Canis lupus familiaris: one gene and its partners. The protein of the gene in region 2 binds, or shares a complex with, the protein of the main gene of each other region. Links are inferred from orthologs where the notes say so. Each region holds a gene or a part of one and is shown on either strand. Other genes may lie near its edges.

Region 1 (7,348 bases), on a different chromosome or scaffold from region 2:
CACAGGCTAGATTGAGCCTGGAGGGGTGAGGGTGTGGGGTGGGGGATGCAGGCACAGCGGGCCCAGAGGTGATGAGGAAGATGGGCAGGAAAAGTGATCCTGATAAAGCTAAGAACTGGTAACATCAGAAGGATGACGTAAGGGTCAGGGTTAGTATTGGAAATGGCTTCAGAAGTTCTTCAAGTCTGTTGGTTTTGAAGGAGAGGTGGAGAGGTGATATGAAAAGGCTCAAAGGGGCTGCAGCTGGCTGCAGCTGGGCTAGGAGGAGGAAGCTGGGGGGAGACATGAGGTCAATGCGGGGCTGGGACCAGGCCAAGGGCTGAGTCTCTCTCATTCTTCCCCTTCTCCCCATCAGCAGGGACAGAACCCAGGAGAGCCTAGTTCCCAGCCTTAAAAAGAAAACAACAATGTACGCTGAAGAACTCTCCACTTCTTGCTATTCTTCACCCTTTAGCCCCTGCAGAGGATCCTGCAGGGCAGCAGGGTAAGAGGCAAAGAGAGTTGACTCTACCTGGTAGGGGCAGGACAGCTGTAGCTGGGAAGGCTCTGTGGGGCTGGGACCCTTTCACTAAGGCCCAGTTCCCTTCCTTCCCATTCTAGCACCTGGGGTGCTCCTCAAAGGGTGAGCCCCAGGGCCAGGGCGGCTCTGGGTGGGGGAGCTGAGGAGGTTGCCCCTCCCCCACCAGGCGGCACAGAGGAAGGCTCCAACACTTGCTTCCTCCTCCCCGCTTCACAGGCTTCACAGCAGCTCAGCAGTCCCGGGGCCCCATGAAAGGCCTGTGAGGTGGCACTTCCTTTGCCTTTGCTCATTTCACACGATGCTGTACAGAAATGCCATCCTCCCAATCCTGCCTCCCCCACCTGAAAATACCCACAGAGAGACCCAGGGCCGCCCTGTCCCTTCAGCCCCGCCCCAGCTCTGAGGGGGTTTCCACAAGGGAAAAACACATCAGGGAGGAAACTCCGGCATCGATTTTCCACTGTCAGTGGGGCAGAGCTGGAACAGGGCAGAGGGTACTCCCCCCATATTGCTGCCCCCTGGCATAATCCCCGACATTCTGCCAAATTCTCTTCTTTCAACCCGTAGGAATCCTTGTGCTTTGGGGGAAAGGAGCCACAGGTCCCATTGCTGAATAGATAGAGACTACTGAGGCCTGTCAGATCAAGGCTGGCATGAGACAGGAGGGCCCAGAGTGTGTGTGTGTGGGGGGGGGGTACTGCTACAAGGAGCCCCTTAGGGGAAAGAGACTTAGAATTCTCAGTATTCTCTATGCTCATTAGAGGTATTAACAGGCAACTCCTATTGTTGGAGCTGAGCCACAAGAGACAAAGTTGACCAGGGTTATACAGATTTGGGAGCAAATCCAGGGCAAGGACCTGGGTCTCTTAACCTCCAGCCTGATGTCACTTCCACAAAGAAAAGTTGAGAACTGTTACTCTGGCCTGGGAATGGGCCCATGTTTCTGGCCTCACTTAGGATGACCCTACAATGGTTTTATTCCTTCAGGAAATGGGCCAAAGGGATTAGGTTGATGCCCAAACCCATTCTGCTTCCAAGTTCCCTGGCTCTCATGTCTAGCCAACATGAGGCTGTCCATGATCTAGAACTGATACTAGTGGACAGACAGCCACCCTAGCCTGCCCCAATTGAGAAGCTCCCTCTATAAGCTCTAGCTCCTGGGCAGAAGATGTCCTCCGCCCATGACAGGAGGACAAAAGAGGAAGCTAGACCCTAGACAGGAAAACCAATCTGTTCTGGGGAGGCGGCCCAGGCTTTGTCTTTGGTTTCCCTCCTCACAGACCCCCTACAAGCCTCACTACTAATGGGTCTACACTGTGTATGGAGGGAGAGGTCTTCATTCTGGGCCCAGGCCCCCACCTTCTTCCCAGCTGCCCAGCTACCCCCATTCTAATATCTTCCCAACTGTCTCATTATAGCTACAACTTCTCATATCTTCCTGCTATAACCTCCTAAAAGCTCACCTCGGCCACTTCATCTGACCTAACATTTGGCCAGAAACAACTCTCCATATCCTAGATTCCCAACCAGGATCTGTGACAATCTCACATTAGCCATTTCTTCCCCAAATAAGGACTGGTTTAGCAGGTGGGGAGTCAGAACTCCTGGATGGTTTTTTAATGAGCCACGATGCTGAAAAAGTGCCTTGCATGCACATCCTTCTCTGAGCTGGAATTTTTTGCAGGTTCCTGGGATTTCCTCCTGGAGTGGAACCACCTGTACCTCCCAGAGTGACAGTAGGAGATACGGTGGAAGAAGGGACAATTCACGGAAGAAGGGGGAAAGGCTAGAATGAGGAACCGGGTTAGCTCTTAAATCTAGTTGTGCTTGGGAATCCCAAAAAAGTTCCCCTCCACTTCTCTTTTTTTCTAATGGGGAGAAATGAATACAGTAGACTTGAGGTGGAGAGGCAGGATCTCTCAGCATGCTTCCCAAAGACTTGAGGAAGGAGCTTTAGAATGGGGACAAGAGCGCGTAGAGCCAAGCTGGACTGAAGTTAAACTTGAGAGGAACTCCTGAAACACAGGGAGTAGGGTCCTGGATGAGAGGGGGAAAATTAACAATGCCTGAAGGCAGAGGGGTCGGCAGAGGACTTGTCATGGAGACCCTAATGCAGCCAGGGCACGTGAGTTCCCAGGCTGGGCAGGCCCCAGAAGGAAGGAGGGAAGACGGGGCAGACACTTCTGCCTTACTTCCTTCTCCTTAACTAAAACAGTAAAGACTTAAGTTAGACCAGCTATCTAGTCTTCCCTCCAGAATCCTGCCTTTGTCCTCTCCCTTTCCTTCCACCACACCTAGCTGACCTCATCCCATTTTCCCTAACAGGTGGTGTAGGAACAAGCAAGCACTGGAATCAGGGGCCTTCAGGCTCTCTCCCAGCCTCTATACCTGGCCTCTTGGTTAAGCACCCAAGGGTTTGGGTGATTTGATTTCCCACGGCCTCGCTCACCAGTCTTATTCCTGTGTCACTCTACCCTTACTGCTACAGACTGCTTCCTCCTGCCTAACCACAACCTCACCCACTGCAGGTTCCCTTCATTCTGCTGGTTTCCCCTGCCCTGGGCCCTCTCAAGGCTGAGGGCAGTTATTTTGTCTCCAAGAGATAAAGACATAGACACATTGACAATCCCAGGCAAATACACATAGAGAAAAGTTTTCCAGCCCTTTAATCATCTTTATCACTGGGAGGTTGTAGCCTGTCTCTCTGAGGTCGGGAGATCTGAAAAGGCTCTCAAACCCACCAAAGTTCTGGACCCCAAAGCCAGAGATAAGTGGCTGAAAGGGAAGGAGACAGGGAGATTAAGAGAAGTGAGGAAAGGTGGAAGAAGCAAGAGGGTGGATATGTGTTTGGGAACCAGTAGGGGGGCAAGGAAGGGAGGTGGGGAGGCTGCAGGGAACAGAGGTGGACAGAGGGGCAGGGCAGGTGACAGGACAGGACCTGGGCATGACAGTGTGTTTAGGTGAAAGACTACAGAGGATGCAAGAAGAGGGTGATGGAGTGTTTGCAGATAGGGTCTGAAGAAGGAATGGAGGAAGAGAAATGAGAATATAGAATTTAGGGACTAACGATTGGGTGGAGGGAATAGGAGATGCTCCCAATTATTTCCCAAGGCCAGAGCTGGCACTGCCACCCAGAAGGTCTGTTCTCTCATCCCCTCAAAATAGCCCCCATCTCAGCGATGCCACCTTGTCAGGGCCTATCAGCACCTCTGAATGAGAGTCCTTCCACCGCTAGTCACAAGACCAGGCCCTCTTCTTCCTCAGTTTACCCCCCAAAGAGCGAGGCCAGGCCCTGGTCAGCCAGGCACAGAGATGTTTGCCAACTAAATACCTGTTGCTTCATTCCAGGGATGGAGAGGTTGGGCGTCAGAAAAACAGGCATAGAGAGCGAGACTGCGACTGGCGGGGCTCCCCCCTCCCTGCCCTCCCCTGAGTGCACAGGACCTTGGACTGCAGCCTGCGAATGCGGGTCCGGATTGGCACTTGCAGGGAGGGAGCTCTATTCTCCGCAGTCCAGGGCTTCGAGGGCCCCAGACACCGCCCCCCTCCAACCTCCAACCTTGCAAGTGTCACAACTGCCGAGCGGAGGGGAGCACTTTCTCTGCAGCCCAGGGGGCCCCCTTCCTTCACGCAATTTGGGACACCCCCCTCCCCTTCTGAGGTCACCCCAGCCCTGAATCCCATCGCCCAGCTCCGAGCTCTTCCACTTCGGAGACTTTTCTCTCGGAGCCGGGGACTCTCCCACCTCCGCGGTGCCGCCTCCCCGGGGACAGAAACCCACCGTCACGGTACCGCCGCCGGCTCGCAGGGGCCGGCTCCCCGCCCGCCCGCCCGCCCGCCCGGCCGCGCCCGCCCAGCTTGCGGAGAGCCGAGAAGCTCCCGCCCGCGCCTCCCGCAAGCGAACTTCCCCGGCCCGCGCCGCGCCCGCGCCCGCGCCCGCGCGCAGTCCCTGCCGGCCGCGCTCCCCCGCCCCCTCCCCCGCCCCCTCCCCCGGCCCCCCGGCCCCCCGGCCCGCCGGCCCGCGCCGGGCCTCACCTGGTGCCCTCCCCGCCGCGGGGGAGCTGGGGGCGGCGGCAGCGGCTCCGGGCTCGAGAAGGAAGTGAGAGCGGGAGGCCGGAGGAAGTGGGGGGGGCGGGCCGGCCGGGGCGGGGCGGGGCGCGGGGCGGGGCGCGGGGCGGGGCGGGCCGGACCGGGAAGTGCGCGAGGCCCGGGCCCCCCGGCCGGGGTCTCCCCCCCAACACCTGCCCGGCGCGGTCCGGGGTCGGGCCCTGGGCTCCCTAACCCCGGCCCTCTGCCTCGGAGGGCCCTAAGTCAGGTCTCCTAAGGTCAGTCCTGCCCGTCTCCTCCGTGCCACCCCACCCCAGTCGAGGCCGTAGCCGGGGCCCCAAGCTTTTGTCCCCCTCCCCGTATCTTGCCCCACCCACTCCCCGCGGGAAGATGCTGAGAACCGGCGCCCCAGGGTGGGCGCCTCGGTCAAGCCCAGGGAGGGAGCGCTGGCCCAGCCTGCGGGTTGGCCGGAGTGGGTCCGGCTGGGACAGTCCCCACCCCTGCCCCGAGCCCCAGCGGAGCGCGCAGTGGTGGTGATTCAGCAGTGGGAAGGCCCCAGACCCCTGGGGAGGGTGCGGAGACTGGGGGCAGGGGAGCTGGCGTCAGCACCCGGGGAAAGACAAGATCAGCAGAGGCGCCGACCGAGCCGCGGGCCCCAAAAACAGGATGTCGTGTCGTCGTTCCGCAACCGGCTGCTCCGTGCGCTGGGCTCTGGGGAGGGGAGGGGGCGGGGCGGGGCGGGGCGGGCGGAGGACGTAGGGCTCCCCTCGCCCTCGCCCTCGCCCTCGCCCTCGCCCTCGCCCTCGCCCTCTCTCTCCTCGCCGCCGGGCGCGCCACCGCTTAGGGCTGCAGGGCGGCACCCAGGCCCAAGATCCTGCCGGCGCCCCGGGGACAGCTGGGTGGACGGGCTCGCGGGCGCCCTCTGCTGCTTCTGCACCCAGGTGTTGCTCAGGAGCTCTGACGGCTCCAGAAGGGGCGGATAGCCTTCCTCCGTTCAACCCAAACTTTCTGAGCGCCTACCACGTGGACAGCTGCAGCTCCGTGCGGCGTTTAGGACAGGCTCCCTGTCTCCAAGAGGCTTTCCAGATAAAAAGGAAGAATAAATAGCGTAACCTTCTGAGCCTCAGTTCTATCTTTGGTAAAATAGAATAACCTCTCCTTCGTCCTGTAGAGGGGAGATAACATGAGAATGGATGTAAAAGGCCTGCTATTGGTGCCCGGCTCAAAGTAAACATTCAACGAATGCTTTAAAAAAAAAAAAAAAATCATGCTATAAGAATAAGTTTCCGGGATCCCTGGGTGGCGCAGCGGTTTGGCGCCTGCCTTTGGCCCAGGGTGCGATCCTGGAGACCTGGGATCAAGTCCCACGTCGGGCTCCCGGTGCATGGAGCCTGCTTCTCCCTCTGCCTGTGTCTCTGCCTCTCTCTCTCTCTCTCTCTGTGTGACTATCATAAATAAATAAATAAATAAGTAAATAAAATTATTAAAAAAAATAAAAAAGAATAAGTTTCCTAAACACAACATGTCTGCCCACATCTTTGGGTCTTTGCCCCTTCTATTCCCTCTGCCGTGCCTTCTTTCCTGTATTGATTGCCAGGCGAAATCCACTCAGACTTTCACAATTCGGCCCCAAAGGACCACTCCCTGCGTGGTTGCCATCACCCTTCCTCCCACAACACAGATACACCCACCCCACCTCTGCCATGCGGTTGATAGTCTCTCCCGGTGCTGTCTAATGAAAATAATGTAAGCTACACATGTAACTTAAAATATTCTATTGATGACATTTTTTAAAAAGTAAAAAGAAACAGGTAAAATTAATTTTAATGATATGTTTTACTTAGCCCACTATATCTAAAATGGGATCATTCAACATGTAACCACTATAAAATTATTCACTATACAAATGAATAGGGTATTTTACATTCTTTTTTTGTACTAAGGCTTTGAAATCTGCTATGTGTTTTATACTCACACTACATCTGAATTTTGACTAGACATATTTCAAGTGCTCAACAGTACACATGGCTAGAGGGTATGGTATAGGACAACAAAATAGAGCCTCTGTCAGAGTCAAGCTGGTAGATGACTGAGTAGGTGAATTCATTCTCTATGAGCTTTCTGGGTAAGCTTGTCCTGATCCTCCTACGTGGAGTTTGGGTCTCTGTCCTCCCTCCCCATAGCACTTGGGACAAACTCCTCTCTGTGGAGAAGAGGAGAGCAGGAAAGACAAAAGGAAAATCTGATGCCCCTCTATACCCTACTAGGAACACCTGGCTGGCTGGTGCTTGGCGTTTGATGATGAAGAAAGCATTGTGCGTTTCCATAAAAGACAGGGTTCAGTGGAGGAGTACATACTAAAGCAGCTTCTAGAAGCCATTAAAAATTATGTCTCAGAACAAAGGTTTTTGAGCTGAGTTCCTAGAGTTCCCCTCCCAGGATTTGAAGGGAGGAAAATAGTGGGGCTCTGGCCTCCCTTCCCTTCAACCAGAGTGATTTTGCTTTTATCTGATTTATATACTGCTATTCTGGATAAAGAACTTTTTTTTTTTTGTTTTTAAGACTTATTTATTTGTTTGAGAGAGAGAGTGCACGAGGGGGAGGAACAAAGGGAGAGGAAGAGACAATCCTAAGCAGACTCTGTGCTGAGCATAGAGCCCCCTACACAGGCTGATCTCATCACCTGAGATCACAGCTCCAGCCAAGAGTTAGAGGCTCAACAGACTGAGCCACGTAGGTGCCCCAAGAGCTTATTTTTAAAAAGTTTCTTGCAAAAAAAAT
Region 2 (7,030 bases):
TTTTATTCTTAGCCTCAATGTTGTTAGAACATGAACACATTAGGGCAAAGGCTTCTTCAGCTGTATAATATCTAGCAGCATCTGCCTCCAGTAGACAGATGATCAACAAGTGTTACTGTTGTTGCTTATTCTGGTTCCATAACTAATTAACTGTGTGATCTTCAGCCAAGGATTTTTAATCTGTGTTCAAATCCAGAGATCTGGGCAGCCTGGGTGGCTCAGCGGTTTAGCACTGTCTTCAGCCCAGGGTGTGTTCCTGGAGACCCAGGATCAAGTCCCATGTCCGGCTCCCTGCGTGGAGCCTGCTTCTCTCTTTGCCTGTGTCTCTGCCTCTCTCTCTCTCTCTCTCTCTCTCAATCTGTCTCTCATGAATAAATAAATAAAGTCTTAAAAAAAATTCAGAGATCCATGGATTTGAAATGGGAAAAAAAAATGCATCTCAATTTTCTAAAACTTAGTATTTAATTATGACTGTAGGCAATAAACCCCAACTTGTACCAAACTGAAATCATAAGTATTTTCATATCATTATCATGGTTACTGCAGATATCTTAAAAAAATCATATATACTCATCACTAATTTGAAAGTATGGTAGTTTACAGACATGCCACTAGATCTTGTTATTTAGTGCATTAATAAGCACACGTATCACAATATTACAATTTTGAAAAATACCCTGACAGCTGTATTTCAATACAACTGGGTTCCATTTTCAATTCCTCATAGTTGACTTTATACACTTAAAATCATTATTCTAAGAAAGGGATCCAGTGGCTTCACCAGAGGACCAACAGAGTTCATGCAATCAAAAGGTTATCTTGTGTTAAGCAATTCACTTTACCTCTTTAGACACCAAGTTCCTCTCTTTAAAGGGAAACTGGATTAGTTATTCCCTCAGACCCTCCTCTTGAGGATTGGATGGGAACCACAGCACACCTGAATGCATTAACAAAGGGCTACAGGAGTCTGCTTTCAATTTTTTACATCAGCATTTGAGTCTCCTCTACTAAGCTAAATGCTTTCAGATTAATGAGGCCTAGCAGAACCAACAGATGAAGAGCTAATGGTGAAAGCAAAGATGCTCCCACACTACCTTTTATCACATTATAACAATACAGATCACAAACAATAATGAATTGTTTTTGCAACAACAACAAAAAATCAACCAACAACATAATCTGGGACCGTTATTAATAATAAATAGCTTGTTTGGGAGCAGACTTAAAACATAAATGTTTCAATAATCAGAAAAGTAACCTGGATATATATCACTGACATTTGTTTGAAATCTAAATAAAAGTGATTATATCCTCATGTCCTCGAACAGAAAAAAAATTCAAGAAAGAAAGGGGAAAAAAGAATAAAGGAAAAGAAAATAAAGAAAATGGAAAGAAGAAAAGACAGTTTTCCATGGCTGTACGGAAGAGCACTTGCTTCCAAGCATTTGGCACGTAACACTTCACACCAGGATACTAATGGACTAGAACTTTAAAAAAGCAAATCTATTGGTCCTTTCCCTTGATAACAGATAACACACATGGGTCATTTAGGCCCTCCAAAATGCTAGAGATTGAGCCAACAGAGCTATGTTTAAGAACTAAGAAAGCCCAGTCAGATTGCATTTCAGTCCCCATAGAAAAATCTAGGCTCTGTCAGGAGCAGCCAATAGTGGCACCAAGATAATATAAGAGACTGCTAGCTTCACTTAGCAAAATTCAAATTGAGATCAAAGCACTACCCTCACACAGAGTAGCTGTGAGTCATTGAAATGCTTCAAAATGACTATCACATGGTTTCCTTCACCCAGAAACACAATCTGACCAGCAGACACTCGTAAGTGATAACTATCCCCCAAAAAGTCCAACAAGCCAATTTTCCTAATTATATTTAAATGAAGTCTGTCTACTCGATGCTTCCTTATTTTCTCAACAGCACATCTCATTTTTCTGCTTGCAAAGAAATAAAGACACCGAAGGCTCTCACTACGCACATTTAACCAAACAAAATAAAACTCATACTGTGGTGAATGGGGGTGGGGGGGTGGGGAGAGGAACTGCATTAAATCATCATGGAAATGAGGTTAAGGCTTTAGAGTGTCACCTCAACAGCAAGGACAAGCAGTTACTGAATACAGGCTCTCTACCTGGTATCATGACAGGGATACAGAACCATAACCTGATTCAGTGAACCCAAGGATAAAAGGATAAGTAACAAAGTGTGGCACAATGTAGTGATTGTGAGGAGAGGCATACGGGTTTGGGAAGAAGGTCCGGTTCATACCAAATCTGGGGAAGCAATGCAAATGCATCTGAGCCCCCCGAGGAATAGGCTGGATTGGAGATGATACAGAACTGGGAGGGCACTCTGGGAGCAAAGTCCCAAAGGGAGAACCTCTTCATTGCATGTTGCACAAGAGCAGAGAAGGGCAGTGTCTGCCCTGGTAAGTTAATGAAAGAAGCCAGGAGAGATAAAGTTGGTGGAGACAGGTCGAACCAGATTATCATAACCTTGAAAGTTGGGCTCAATTTAGACTTTACCCCGGTAGGCCAAGGAAGGCTTCCAAGCGGGAGGCACTGAGAACAACAGAGAGTTTTAGGAATAAACAATGGTGATTTATCTCCTCAGCTAATCTGTCCTAACAGTGGGTCCTTTTGTCAAGCCAAGATTAATCAAAATCTATTGTGTCTAGTAAAATAAGTGTGCCAAATTATATCCTGGGGCAGTTTTGCTACCACCTATGCCCTGGAAATGCATTTCAAATGCTTTTCTTGACTGCTGATAAATAACATGGTAACCTGATTCCAGAATGGGGGGGGGGGGTAGTATTACTGAAAAGAAAACATGTCACACTTGCTCCTATGACTATGGTAATTAAAACCACATTTGAGGGGTATGCTTGGCATTAACTACATGAAAGTCATAGTGTTGGATCCTGTTAGAAACAAAATCAAAACTGCTATCTTTGTAAATAGTAACTAATGAGCAGGCATTGCTAATTATGCTTTAATTTAGTAGTACTCTGTAATGCTCAAAAATAAATCGATTCCATCTATCACAGACCATTTTCCTTCCATAACTACTGGCTACTCACTGGCACCTGCCTGAAGCCTCAGGACCAAATTCTGACCAGATACTGTGGGTCAGAAGAAACACTCATTTCTGAGTTGCTGCCACAAGAGAGTGCAAGGATTCTAAAGGAAATTTAAGAGGAAACAAGTTTTTTGGAATAGGGGGGCAACAAGGAATTACATATACACAGTACATATCACATATACAGCTACATATACACAGAAAGGGTCACAATTAAGATACTATTTTAAATGTGAAAGGGTTTTGTTGTTGGGTTTTTAACGGACTCTGTGGTTACAGAGTCGAAAAGCACCTAGAGGAGGTTGTTTAAAGAGTATCCCAAGAGGACTTCAGTGTGTCAGAAAGCACAGAAGCGCTGCAGGGATCCCTCCCTCCCTACTAACTGAAGCGGTAAGGAAAAATGGGGCCCGGGAAAGCGAGTAAAATAAAAGATTACATTACAGATGGACCGAATGAATGAACCTGGGAGGAAGTGATAAAATGCTCCACACACACAACTGTGTTTATTCTAGGGAACCGCTCGGAAGTCCACCTGCCCCAGGGATGGCCCGGCTCAGGGCAGTCTTTCCAAGAGACCTCAGCACGCGCGCGCACACGCACACTCACACACACACACACACACACACACACACACCAGGTGCAAGGACCGCGGTTTTCCACCTGGGTCAAAACCAGGCACAGCCAGGCTTTCGGGTCCCCAACAACACAACAGCCACCCCTCCGCGGGTGGTGGGGGCTCTGGAGCACCACCTTTAGGAAAGCCCAGTGCCTGGCCAGGACCTGCCACAGGTTCCTTAACAAAATATGCTCCTGTGGGGATCCCTGGGTGGCTCGGGGGGTTTAGCGCCTGCCTTCGGGCCAGGGCCTGATCCTGGAGTCCCGGGATCGAGTCCCGCATGGGCTCCCTGCATGGATGGAGCCTGCTTCTCCCTCTGCCTCTCTCTCTCCTCTCTCTGTGCCTCTCATGAATGAATAAAGAAAATCTTAAAAAAAAAAAAAAAAAAATCCTCACGTTATCTGCCCCAGGACGGAACTGCGGCCTCGCAGGGCGGTCGTAGGCGCCTTTAGGCACGCTCGGTTAGGGACGCGCGCGTCCGCGCCCCCAGCCCGCTCGCCGTCTCCTCCGTCTCCATCACCCCCACCCCACGGCTTGAGTGTCCCATTCACTTTACAACTGTTACCGGCATCCCAGTCCCTGGAGGAAGGGGGCGCCGTCCTACCCCCTCCCCCGCACACCTCACTTGGGGACCTCACTTGGGGAGCCCAGCAGACGGCACGCAGAAGCCCCGGGTCCGCGAGCGGACAAACCACTCCACGGATCCGCAAGGCTGGGGCGGAGAAGGGGGAGCCCCGGGCCCGCGCCCCACACCCCCGCGGGCGAGCGCTCGCTTTTGACGTTTGCACCGTGCACGGCGCCGGGGCTTCGGGTCCCGGAGCCCCAGTGCCGTTTCGGGGGGCGCTGAGACTCCCCACCCCGGGGGCGACGTCCCGGCCGGGCAGCGCCGCCTGCGCCCTGGGGGCGGGGGGCGCGGGGGGCCCGGGGGGAGCCTCCGCCGCGGGGCAGGGCCGCTCCCGCGAACTTCGGGCGAGCACTCACCGACCCCGTACTTCTGCCTCTTGGTCGGGATCCAGCGGGCCATGGCGGCGACCTCGCCCCGCGGCGGCGGCGGCTGCGGCTGCGGCGGCTACAGCTCCCGGGGCCCCGGCCGCCGCCGCGCCCCGCTCCCGCGCGCCCCGGGCTCCTCCGCCATGTTCCGGCAAACTTCGCCGCCCGCGCGCGCGGGACTCGCTGGGGCTCTGCCGGGCCGCCGGTCACCTGCTGGGCCCTCCCGGCGCCGCCCCGGCCCCTCCCGCCGGCCGCGCCCTCCGCCCGCCGGGGCCGCCTCCGCGCCCGGGGCTCCGCGCTCCGCGCTCCCCCGCCCCGCCTCGCGCGCTCCCCGGGAGCGGCGCCCCGGGGCCCACCGGCTCCGGCTTTTTCGTTTTACTGTTGCGCCCTCCGCCGCCTTCCCTTCGTCCCCCGTGAGACCCTCCAGGCTGGAGCCCGGGGCGTCCCTGGAGGTGGCGGCGCACCCCGGGGGAGCAGAGGCGCGCCCACCGCGCCCCCGGGGGGCCCAGGATCAAGTCCCAGGTCGCTCCTCGCCCCGGGCCCCCCAGTGCCTGGCACTCAGCAGGCGCTCAGTAAATATTTGTTGAATGAATGAGCAGCTGACGCTGCGCTCACCCCCTGCAGCTTTCACTGACCGAGAGAGAGAGAGAGAGAGAGAGAGAGAGAGAGAGAGAGAGAGAGAGAGCCGGAAGGACTCCAGGGCCCACAGGCTCTCCCGGGGCCACCCTTTAATGCTTTCCTTCTCTTTAAAAAAAAATTTTTTTAATTGGAGTTCAGTTTGCCAACATACAGCATAACACCCAGTGCTCATCCCATCAAGTGCCCCCCTCAGTGCCCGTCACCCGGTCACCCCCATCCCTCCACCCACCTCCCCTTCCACGACCCCTTGTTCGTTTCCCAGACTTAGGAGTCTCTCCTGTTTTGTCACCCTCACTGATATTTTCAACTCATTTTCTCTCCTTTCCCCTGTATTCCCTTTCACTGATTTTTAGATTCCCCCAAATGAATGAGACCATATAACGTTTAGAGCTTTCAAAGCAGGCGCATTCGTCTTCGGGTAAATAGAGACCTGGTGCGGGGGGGGGGGGGGGCGATGTGCACCCCAGAAAGGTCCGTCTCCTCGGGGAGCTCCGTTGGGGAAATTCTTTAGAGTTTAGAGAGCCTTAACTTGGAAATCCTGTACCCCCACCCCACCCCCACCCCAAACACCGGGACTCCTCCCCAAGTGAAGAGATTGAGGGCCCCTATGATCAAGGGAGAAGTTCGCCCCAAGACACACACCCCCCCCAACCGCCTTTTCCAAAAGACCAGCAGCCTAAAGAGCATCCCTGCGGAGAGGGGGACAGGACACATCCGAGTCATCTCTCCTTCACTGTATGGTTTTGACCAGCAGCCAAAAGCAAAGCCTGCTCTTCTGAACTGCAGAAGACTGCTGTTGGAGCCCTCCGAACGCCCTCCAGGATCTCACTTGCTCCTGGAGAGACCTCAGGACTGAAGATGGGATTAGAGACGCCTGTGCTGCCCGGTGGAGGGGAGGGATGCTTTGCTACCTTACCCATAGAAATAAAATCTCAGAGTAAATGACCAGCCGATTTATGTTCACGATTCCAGAAAATACCTCTCAAAAGAAACCGTTTTGTCCTTGCAGTCTGGGAAATTTGCCTTGCCTATTTGGAACATGAAAGAAAGGTAAAATAAACACGTAGTAAAAGAGTGAATCTTGGAAGGAAGAATTAGTGCATTGTAACTTTGGTAACTTTTGCAAAACCAGATCTGAAATTTTAAAAAAGGGGGGGGGGGGGCGGGGAAGGGGTCCTGTTCTAGGTGGGTAACTCCTAGGGCTTACTTTCTTCTCCATCAACAAATAGGTATTTATACACAGAGTGTGATGATAATTTAAAAATCTATCACTTGAGACAACATCCAGAAGGCATGAAGGCATTCCACCATTTCCCTGAAAAATAATTTCTCTTCCTCTGCCAATGACTTCATGATTAACCTAATTTCCCAGGCTAGATAATCTCTTCTTTTTTTCCACAGCTGTTAATTATGTGCGTATTAGGTGTCAAGCATTGTTCTTAGAATGGGGCACAACAGTGAACACCGTAAAATCCCTACCTTCACAGAGCCTACAGTCTGGAAGAGGAGAATAAAACAAAACAAATAAAGATATGCCAAACAAAGAAAGGCTAATCGTGTAGAGAAAACTACAAAACAGGGAGGATAGGATGTTTGGGATGCCATTGTTTTATACAGAGTACTCTGCAAAGGTGATATTGAAGTATAGACCAGAAGGAAGTAAGGATTCTAGGGAGAAATATTCTAGACATTAA
Region 3 (7,115 bases), on a different chromosome or scaffold from region 2:
TTGAGTTGTGTAATTAGAGGAAACACTTGAGGCTTTGTGATGCAGAGAGGGTTTAGTGATTCCCCACCTTTTCCCAATCATTCATTCAGACAGAATGAATGTCTGAAACACCAAAGGACCCACTTGGATGGTTTCAGGCATGAAAAAGTGGTTGCAGGCTTCAGTTACAAAACCTTAAGGGTACTGGCTGTCTTAGATCAGGGCAGGAAATGTCCTCCATAGGAATGAATAGCTCTAAACCCTCAGTGTTAAGAAAGATGACAAGGTAAGCAAAGTGTGCACTCCGCAGAGCCCCTTGGCACGCCCGCAGCCACATCCTCTCCGCAAGGACTTCAAAGCGCTCCCTTCCTCCGCCCCTCCCCACCAGTTCACACCAAACCCCCAAAGGGGGTAAGTTACTTTAAAACACTTAAGTATTGTCCTCTCTCAATACCATAATTTAATAAGTGCTTATGATTTAGAAACACTGTAGAGGCCCCTCATCTGTTTTCTCTTTTATTTTTCTTCTCCTAGACACGTCTCATTTATCTTCTCCCCTGCGTCTGCCACCCGGCCTCCCTATGCTTCCTCCCTTACCTCTCCTCCTCTGCCTCCACCTCCATCTTCTGGGGGAGCAGAGCGGGATACAGGGGCTATCTCTGACCCCACCCCACTCACGGTAATGCCCTGCTTTCTAGGGGAGTATTGCCCTGGCTAAAGCAACACATGTTGTGAAAAGACTTTCTCCAGGGGCGCCTGGGGGGCTCAGTCTTACGTTAAGCATCTGCCTTTGGCTCAGGTCATGATCCCTGAGATCAAGTCCAGGAACTCCCTGCTCACTGGGGGAGTCTGCTTCTCCCTTTCCCTCTCCCCCTCCTCACTGCTCATATTCTCCCTCTCTCTCTCTCACTTATTCTCTCTCTAGTAAATAAATAAAATCTTTAAAGGAAAGCCTGGGTGGCTTAGTGGTTGAGCATCTGCCTTCAGCTCAGGGTGGGATCCCAAGGTCCCGGGATCGAATCCCACATCAGGCTCCTCGCAGGGAGCCTGCTTCTCCCCCTGTCTATGTCTCTGCCTCTCTGTGTCTCTCATGAATAAATAGATAAAAATCTTTAAAAACAATAATAAAAGAAAAGACTTTCTCCAAGGAGTGTGACCAAACAAACACCGGATCTGAAGTGGTTATGCATTATCAATAAATTGTACTGGTTTTCCACTCTCCCAAGGAACCATCTCTCTGTTTCTTTCTTTGGGCTGAAACTCTGAGTTGGCTCAAGATGGAAAGGGGTCTGCAAGAGGAGCCGCTGGGCATGGTGCAAAGGACAGAGGAAACAATCAAAGCCTGTTACCTGGATTCGCTTGCCACTGACACTGCAATATTTTCCCGGTATAATTCCCGTAACAGTCATCTCTTACTCAGTCCATCAGCAAGTATTTTTTGAGCACCTATTGTGCTGGCAATCGGTCTAGGTTCTGAATCTACACAGAAGAGACAAGGTCCCTGCGCTCATGGAACTTTCATTCTAATGGGAGGAACAGACATAATCAAATAAATAAATGAATATATAATGTGCCAGGGGGTGAAAAGTGCTCAGCAGGAAAACTGAGTAGCTTAAGAGGACCAGAGGGGGGGCTGGTTGCTATTTCACAGGAGATAATCAGGAAAGGCCGCCTGTGGGACACCTGGGTGATTCAGTCAATTAAGCATCTGCCTTCAGCACTAGTCATGATCCCAGGGTCCTAGGATAGAGCCCTTAATCAGGCTCCCTGCTCAGCAGGGAACCTGCTTCTCCTTCTGCCCCTTCTCCTGCTCATGCTTTTTCTCTGGTTCTCTGTCAAATAAATAACATCTTTAAATAAATAAATTAATTAATTAATAAGGAAAGGCTGCCTGTAAGCTGACAATTGGGCAGAGAGACCTGAAGTGAACAAGGGAGTGAGCTATCTGGAAATGCGGGGAAACATGCTTTGTGCAAAAGGAGTAACATATTCAAAGGCTCTGGGGAGAGAACTTGGTGAAGAAGAATGTAAGGTGGTCAGAATGGCTGCAGTTAAAAGCAGGAGAGACACCTGGGCAGCCCAGTCGGTTAAGTGGTTAAGTGGCTGACTTGGTTTTGGCTCAGGTCATGGTCTCAGGGTTGTGGGATGGATGGAGCCCCACCTCAGCAGGGAGTCTGCTTGAGATTCTCTCTCTCTCTCTCTCTTTTTCTAAAATAAATAAATATTTTATTTAAAAACAGCAGGAAGATGAGACATGGGGGAGGGGGGGTGGAGATAGGACCATTCATGGCACCACCCATCCCGTAGTCCAGTGCCTGCACCTGAATTCCACAAGACTCAGGCCTGGGCCTGCAACGGCCCCTTCCCTGATATCCACCAAGCTGCTCCCCCAGTTCCCTTCCCTCCTGACCCCATCCCCCTGCAGACTTTCAACACTCCTGGTCATTCCCTCACAGTTTCCCCATTAGACAACCAGTCCATCTAATTAAAAAAAAAAAAATCTGAGTAATAGATTCAGTAGGAAAAAAGGCAACATTTAACCACAGCCCTCCAGAGAGAGGAAATGTACCCTAGTCCGGAGCAGGGGTTCAGAAGGGCAACTGTAAAAAATAAAGTCCGCCACATGACAGCAGGGCATCCGGGCTTCGAGGTTCTGTAAACTGAGGGACAATAATCCTTGAAATAACCTTGGGAAGTAGGTATGGAGGGGAGACAGGAAAAACATGACCAGAAGAGGCCCTTACTAAGAGCTGCTGTCTGGCTTTTTTTTTTTTTTTCCTTAAGATTTTATTTATTTATTCATGAGAGACACACAGAGAGAGGCAGAGACACAGGCAGAGGGAGAAGCAAGCTCCCTGCAGGGAGCCTGATGCAGGACTCCATCCTGAGACTCCGGGGTCACTCCCTGAGCCAAAGGCAGGTGCTCAACTGCAGAGCCCCCCGGGCATCCCTTATAGAGATTTTCCTCTTATTTTTGTGTTACTGTTACCTTTCTTTAAAAAAAAAAAAAAAATTTTTTTTTTTTTTTAAATTGGAGTTCAATTTGCCAACATATAGCATGACACCCAGTGCTCATCCCGCCAAGTGCTGGGCACTGAGGGGGGTGGGGGGCACTTGGCGGGATGAGCTGCCGGCTTTTTGATCTAAAAGTGAACCTGAGTAGGGTTAGGTCCCTCCTGGGGTTCTTAAAGTTACCCCTCAGAGAGTCCATGCCTAAATACACATCATCAGTTACTTTTATTTCAGAAACAAAAGAAAGAAAAAAAAAAAAAAACCACGCCGGCAACACTCCTGAAGTCTTCCGGTGCCCCCCACCTCCCAGCCCCCCCAAGCCAGGACCTGCGGCCTCTGCCTCCCGGGGCGCGAAACCTAGTCTTGGCGCCTCTGGAAACCTTGGATGCAGCGGGCCGGGGCGCACCCTCCTGGGGCCGGGAGCCGGGAGCCGGGAGCTGTCCAGGGGCCCCGGCCGGGCCCCGCGCGCCCGCCCGCCGCACCGCCAGCGACCCCCGCCCGCCGCCGCCGACTTGAAGCGGCCCCGGGCGGGAGGCGGCACCGGGGGCCACTCGGCGGGCAGCCCGCGCCCCGCGCCCCGAGCCCCCCGCGCCCCGAGCCCCCCGCGCCCCGCCTGCGCCCGCGGGCTCCCACGCTCCCCGCCCTCGCGCGCGCCCGCGACCCGCTCGGGCTCCCCGGCCCCGGCCCCCCGCGCGCCCCGGGCCGCCGCCGTGCGCGTCTCCCTCCCTCGGAGCCACCCGCCACCTGGCCGCCCCCCGCGGCGGGGACCCGGGCCGCGCCCCGCTGCCGCCACCGTGCAGGGCCGCCCGCTGCGCCCCCTCCCGAGCCGCGACCGCCCTTCGGGGCCCCCTCCCCGCCGTCCTCGCGGTCCCAGCGGCGTCCCCAGGCGCGTCCCCAGGCGGCGGGGACCCGCCGTCTCCCCCGAGGGTCCCGGGCGCCCCAAGCGCGCCCCCTGCCCGTCCCCATCGCTGTCCCCTCCCCGGGGCGCGCTCGCCGAGGGCTTCCCTCCCACCCGCGGGTGCGGGAGCAGAAGCCGGGGTCCGAGCCGCCGGCCCCCCTCCCCGGCGCCCCTCCCGGCGCCCCTGCCCGGCTCGGGCTCCCGCTCCCGCTCCCTCTCCCGCTCCCGCAGCGGCCGCCGGGCGCTGCCCAGACTTCCCCGAGTGCGGAGCGCCCCGAGCGCACGCAGCCGCCCCCGGCTCCAGCCGCGGCGCCCCGGGGGAGCGGGGGCGCGGGCAAAAGTGTCTCCGCGGCGCCCGGGGCGCCCCCCGGCCCCGGGGCAGGGCGCCCCCTCGCGAGCCCCCCGCCGAGCCCCGGCCCCCGCCCCGGCCGCGCCGAGGTCAGCGAGTCGGGGCGCGGCGCCAGCGCAGGAAACTTTACGAACCTGCCCGGGGGTCGCAGGACGGCGGCGGCGGCGGCGGCGCCCCGCGGCCGCGGAGGGGGCCCGAGGCTGGGTCCGGCGGCTCGGGGCCGCGGCGGGGGGGGGGGGGGGGGCGGCTCTGCCTCTACCCCGTGCCCATCCCCGGCCGCGCACACGCACTCACCCTGGGGCCCCGCCGGCCGCCGCGCCGCCGGCCGCCGCTGCTCTCACTTCCTCTTCCTCCCTCCTGCTGGCCGGAGACACATTGTGCATCTGCAGGCATCCCGCGGGCGGCCGCCGAGTCCCCTCCCGGGCGGGCGGCCCTGCCGAGGGGCCGCCGCCGCCCCCGGCACCTGCGCGGGACTCGCGGGGTTGGCGCTGTCCCCGCCCGCGCGCCCCGGGAGCTGCCGCCGCCTCGGCCCTGCGGGGCGGGGGGCTGCGGCGGGGACGGGGTGCGGGGCCGCCCACCACTTTCCGAAGTCCCCCTACTTAAAAATAAGGAAAATGTCAAGCACCGTGCACGCCTCAGATCGGCTATAAATAATATGTGTGCAGAGCATGACTTCTCGGATGAGCTCACACGCGGCGCTTTGCAGGCACTAATTAACTCCGTCACCGTCATAGCGCCACCTCCGGGAGGCCGAGGGCGCGTGGCGTCTTTTTATATGCTTTCATTTTTGGCAGCTGGCATGCAATTTCGAGGGGGTGGGGGGGGAGACTTAGGCGGGTTGTTTTAAAGCGACTTTAAAAGGCGTTTGGGCTTACCCCGGAGCGGCCTGGCGAGGGTAACCCAACCTCTGCTGCTCTCTGTTGGAGCCCCCGAGGCATGTGCGCCCTGCAGTTCTCATCAGTGACCCCAAGGACTCCCTAACTTGGCATGACTTTTCACGAAGCGAGACGTTCTACCCTCCCCAGCTCGGTATTGGGGGTGCACTGTCTAATGCGACCCACTCCAGTGATTTTTCAAAGCAAAGAATCAAAAAATACTAACTCCCAGCCTAGCTGCCAAGGAGGCAAGTGACAGTGGTTGGAAGGTTGCAGGAGAAACACCTGTCCTTAACAAATTCAAAAAGAAAAAAATAGCTATCTACCCGAAAAGACAAAGGCGGTTACTAATGCATTCCCTTCAAACTGGCCAAGTTGGTAACCCGGGAGCAGGGAGGCATTGGCCTCTAAGGTGGAGGGTAAAACTCCTGCTTAAATTGCAGTCCCACCCCCTCCCCTGTGCTGGCAGCCAAGAGCCCCAAGCAACTATTGAACACTCCAAATGTGGCTCGCCCTGAGATGTTCTGGAAGTGGAAAACAGACACCGGACTTTGTATGAAAAACAGAATGTAAAATAGCTTGTTAGAAACTTTTATGCTGATTATAGCATTTCAACAAATGCTAATAGTGTAAGATGTGATCAGTCCACTGGGTTATTTTATTAGGTTAAAAAATACATATATATAATATATATATGTAAAATGTATATACAAATAAAATATATATAGTGTAAATATATACAACATATATATAATTTAGAATATTTTCACTATTTTCTTTTTACATTCTTAAATGTTTTTAAGATTTTAGTTCTTGGGCAACCCAGGTGGCTCAGTGGTTTAGCACCACCTTCAGCCCAGGGCCTGATCTTGGAGACCCGGGATCGAGTCCCAGGTCAGGCTCCCTGCATGGAGCCTGCTTCTCCCTCTGCCTGTGTCTCTGCCTCCCTCTCTCTCTCTCTCTCTCTCTGTATTCTCATGAATACATAAATAAAATCTTAAAAAAAAAAGATTTTAGTTCTTTAAGAAGTTAGGTTCTTTAAGTAATCTCTACACCAAACATGAGGCTCAAACTCACGACCCGGAGATCAAGAGTCCCACGCTCCACCGACTGAGCCAGCCAGGCTTTTTACATTTTTAATGTGGCAAATAGAAAAAGTAAGATTACACAGATGGCTCTCGTTAGTGGCTCACATTCTATTTCTAATGAGCAGCCCTGATCTGACCTCTTACTATATGCATAACCTCTGGAGGCAATATTAGTACCGGGAAGATTTGGGTCCAGATCATTATAAGCCAATAACTTAAAACAGGATGATTCCAGAAAAGTAATTTATCTTCCCTATTTCCTCATCTGTAAAATGATAATGATATAATAACAGTAAACGGGCTAACTATCAAAATGAAGCAATTGAATAAGCAATCAGCAAATGGAGCCTTTATTAATGATGCCATGAGGCGCTTGTAATGATAACTAAGAATTTGATCCACAACTTTTTAGCTAAGGCATATCAAGATTTTAACTATAGCGCAGAGCATCACCGGCACTCACGAAATGTTAGCTGTCGTAATGTTCCAAGAGTAAATAGGGAACTCTGTCTCCCCTTGCACAGCAATTAGAAAAATCCACCTCCTTGTAACCTTTGGTCCCAGCTCTGCCCTCTGCAGTTAACATGGAGTACCTCACATCCTTCCTCTAAGAGATAACTTGATAGATCTTTAAAGACATTGAATTCTAGCTAAACATTCTCTCCTGAGGACTGACTTTTCTCGATTATTCTAACTCCTTTTTGAGTCCTGTGGTTTCAAATCTCTCTCATCTTAGCCATCTTTCCCTTGAAAGATGCCAGTTTCAGCTTTTAAAAAAAATAGTTGTCATATAAATTAACCATTAAAAACAATACAGCCTGAGGTCTTGTCAATTATTTTTCAAATGTGTCTCTATCCCACCACCGATCCAATGGCAAAGCACGACTGGAAATTCTTTGCTACGTTACTGTTAG

Evidence for each region. The genes of interacting proteins can lie anywhere in the genome.
Region 1: the proteins of DOCK5 (region 2) and RHOG are in contact, whole or in part, in a cryo-EM structure (PDB 8XM7), measured with the Homo sapiens proteins. The link is inferred for Canis lupus familiaris from reciprocal best matches to the Homo sapiens genes DOCK5 and RHOG. Residues at the interface, in NP_079216.4 of Homo sapiens: Val232, Phe345, Asn393, His394, Lys395, Gly396, Trp400; in NP_001656.2 of Homo sapiens: Ala121, Pro123, Leu126, Arg127, Arg128, Lys130.
Region 3: the proteins of DOCK5 (region 2) and ELMO1 are in contact, whole or in part, in a cryo-EM structure (PDB 8JHK), measured with the Homo sapiens proteins. The link is inferred for Canis lupus familiaris from reciprocal best matches to the Homo sapiens genes DOCK5 and ELMO1. Residues at the interface, in NP_079216.4 of Homo sapiens: Met1, Ala2, Arg3, Trp4, Val14, Ala15, Ile16, Tyr17, Asn18, Ser22, Gln23, Gln30, Ile31, Gly32, Asp33, Thr34, Glu39, Tyr41, Gly43, Trp44, Arg46, Tyr48, Lys56, Ile58, Pro60, Glu61, Thr62, Tyr63, His65, Leu66; in NP_001193409.1 of Homo sapiens: Ile7, Val8, Lys9, Ala11, Tyr18, Pro19, Leu21, Glu23, Glu36, Asp39, Gly40, Ser42, Asn71, Gly72, Gln392, Asp393, Leu400, Glu401, Lys468, Arg531, Glu535, Leu536, Lys539, Leu547, Gln550, Gln551, Asn554, Arg555, Asn582, Thr688.

Annotation. Positions count from the first base shown.
Region 1 is NC_049242.1:26,498,857-26,506,204, forward strand, and holds the start of RHOG (rho-related GTP-binding protein RhoG), read right to left. Parts: upstream 4,659-7,348; 5' UTR 4,556-4,658; intron 1-4,555.
Region 2 is NC_049246.1:32,422,893-32,429,922, forward strand, and holds the start of DOCK5 (dedicator of cytokinesis protein 5), read right to left. Parts: upstream 4,777-7,030; 5' UTR 4,732-4,776; coding exon 4,689-4,731; intron 1-4,688. UniProt on the Homo sapiens protein: Guanine nucleotide exchange factor (GEF) for Rho and Rac. GEF proteins activate small GTPases by exchanging bound GDP for free GTP. Along with DOCK1, mediates CRK/CRKL regulation of epithelial and endothelial cell spreading and migration on type IV collagen.
Region 3 is NC_049235.1:48,788,232-48,795,346, forward strand, and holds the start of ELMO1 (engulfment and cell motility protein 1), read right to left. Parts: upstream 4,659-7,115; 5' UTR 4,622-4,658; coding exon 4,533-4,621; intron 1-4,532. UniProt on the Homo sapiens protein: Involved in cytoskeletal rearrangements required for phagocytosis of apoptotic cells and cell motility. Acts in association with DOCK1 and CRK. Was initially proposed to be required in complex with DOCK1 to activate Rac Rho small GTPases.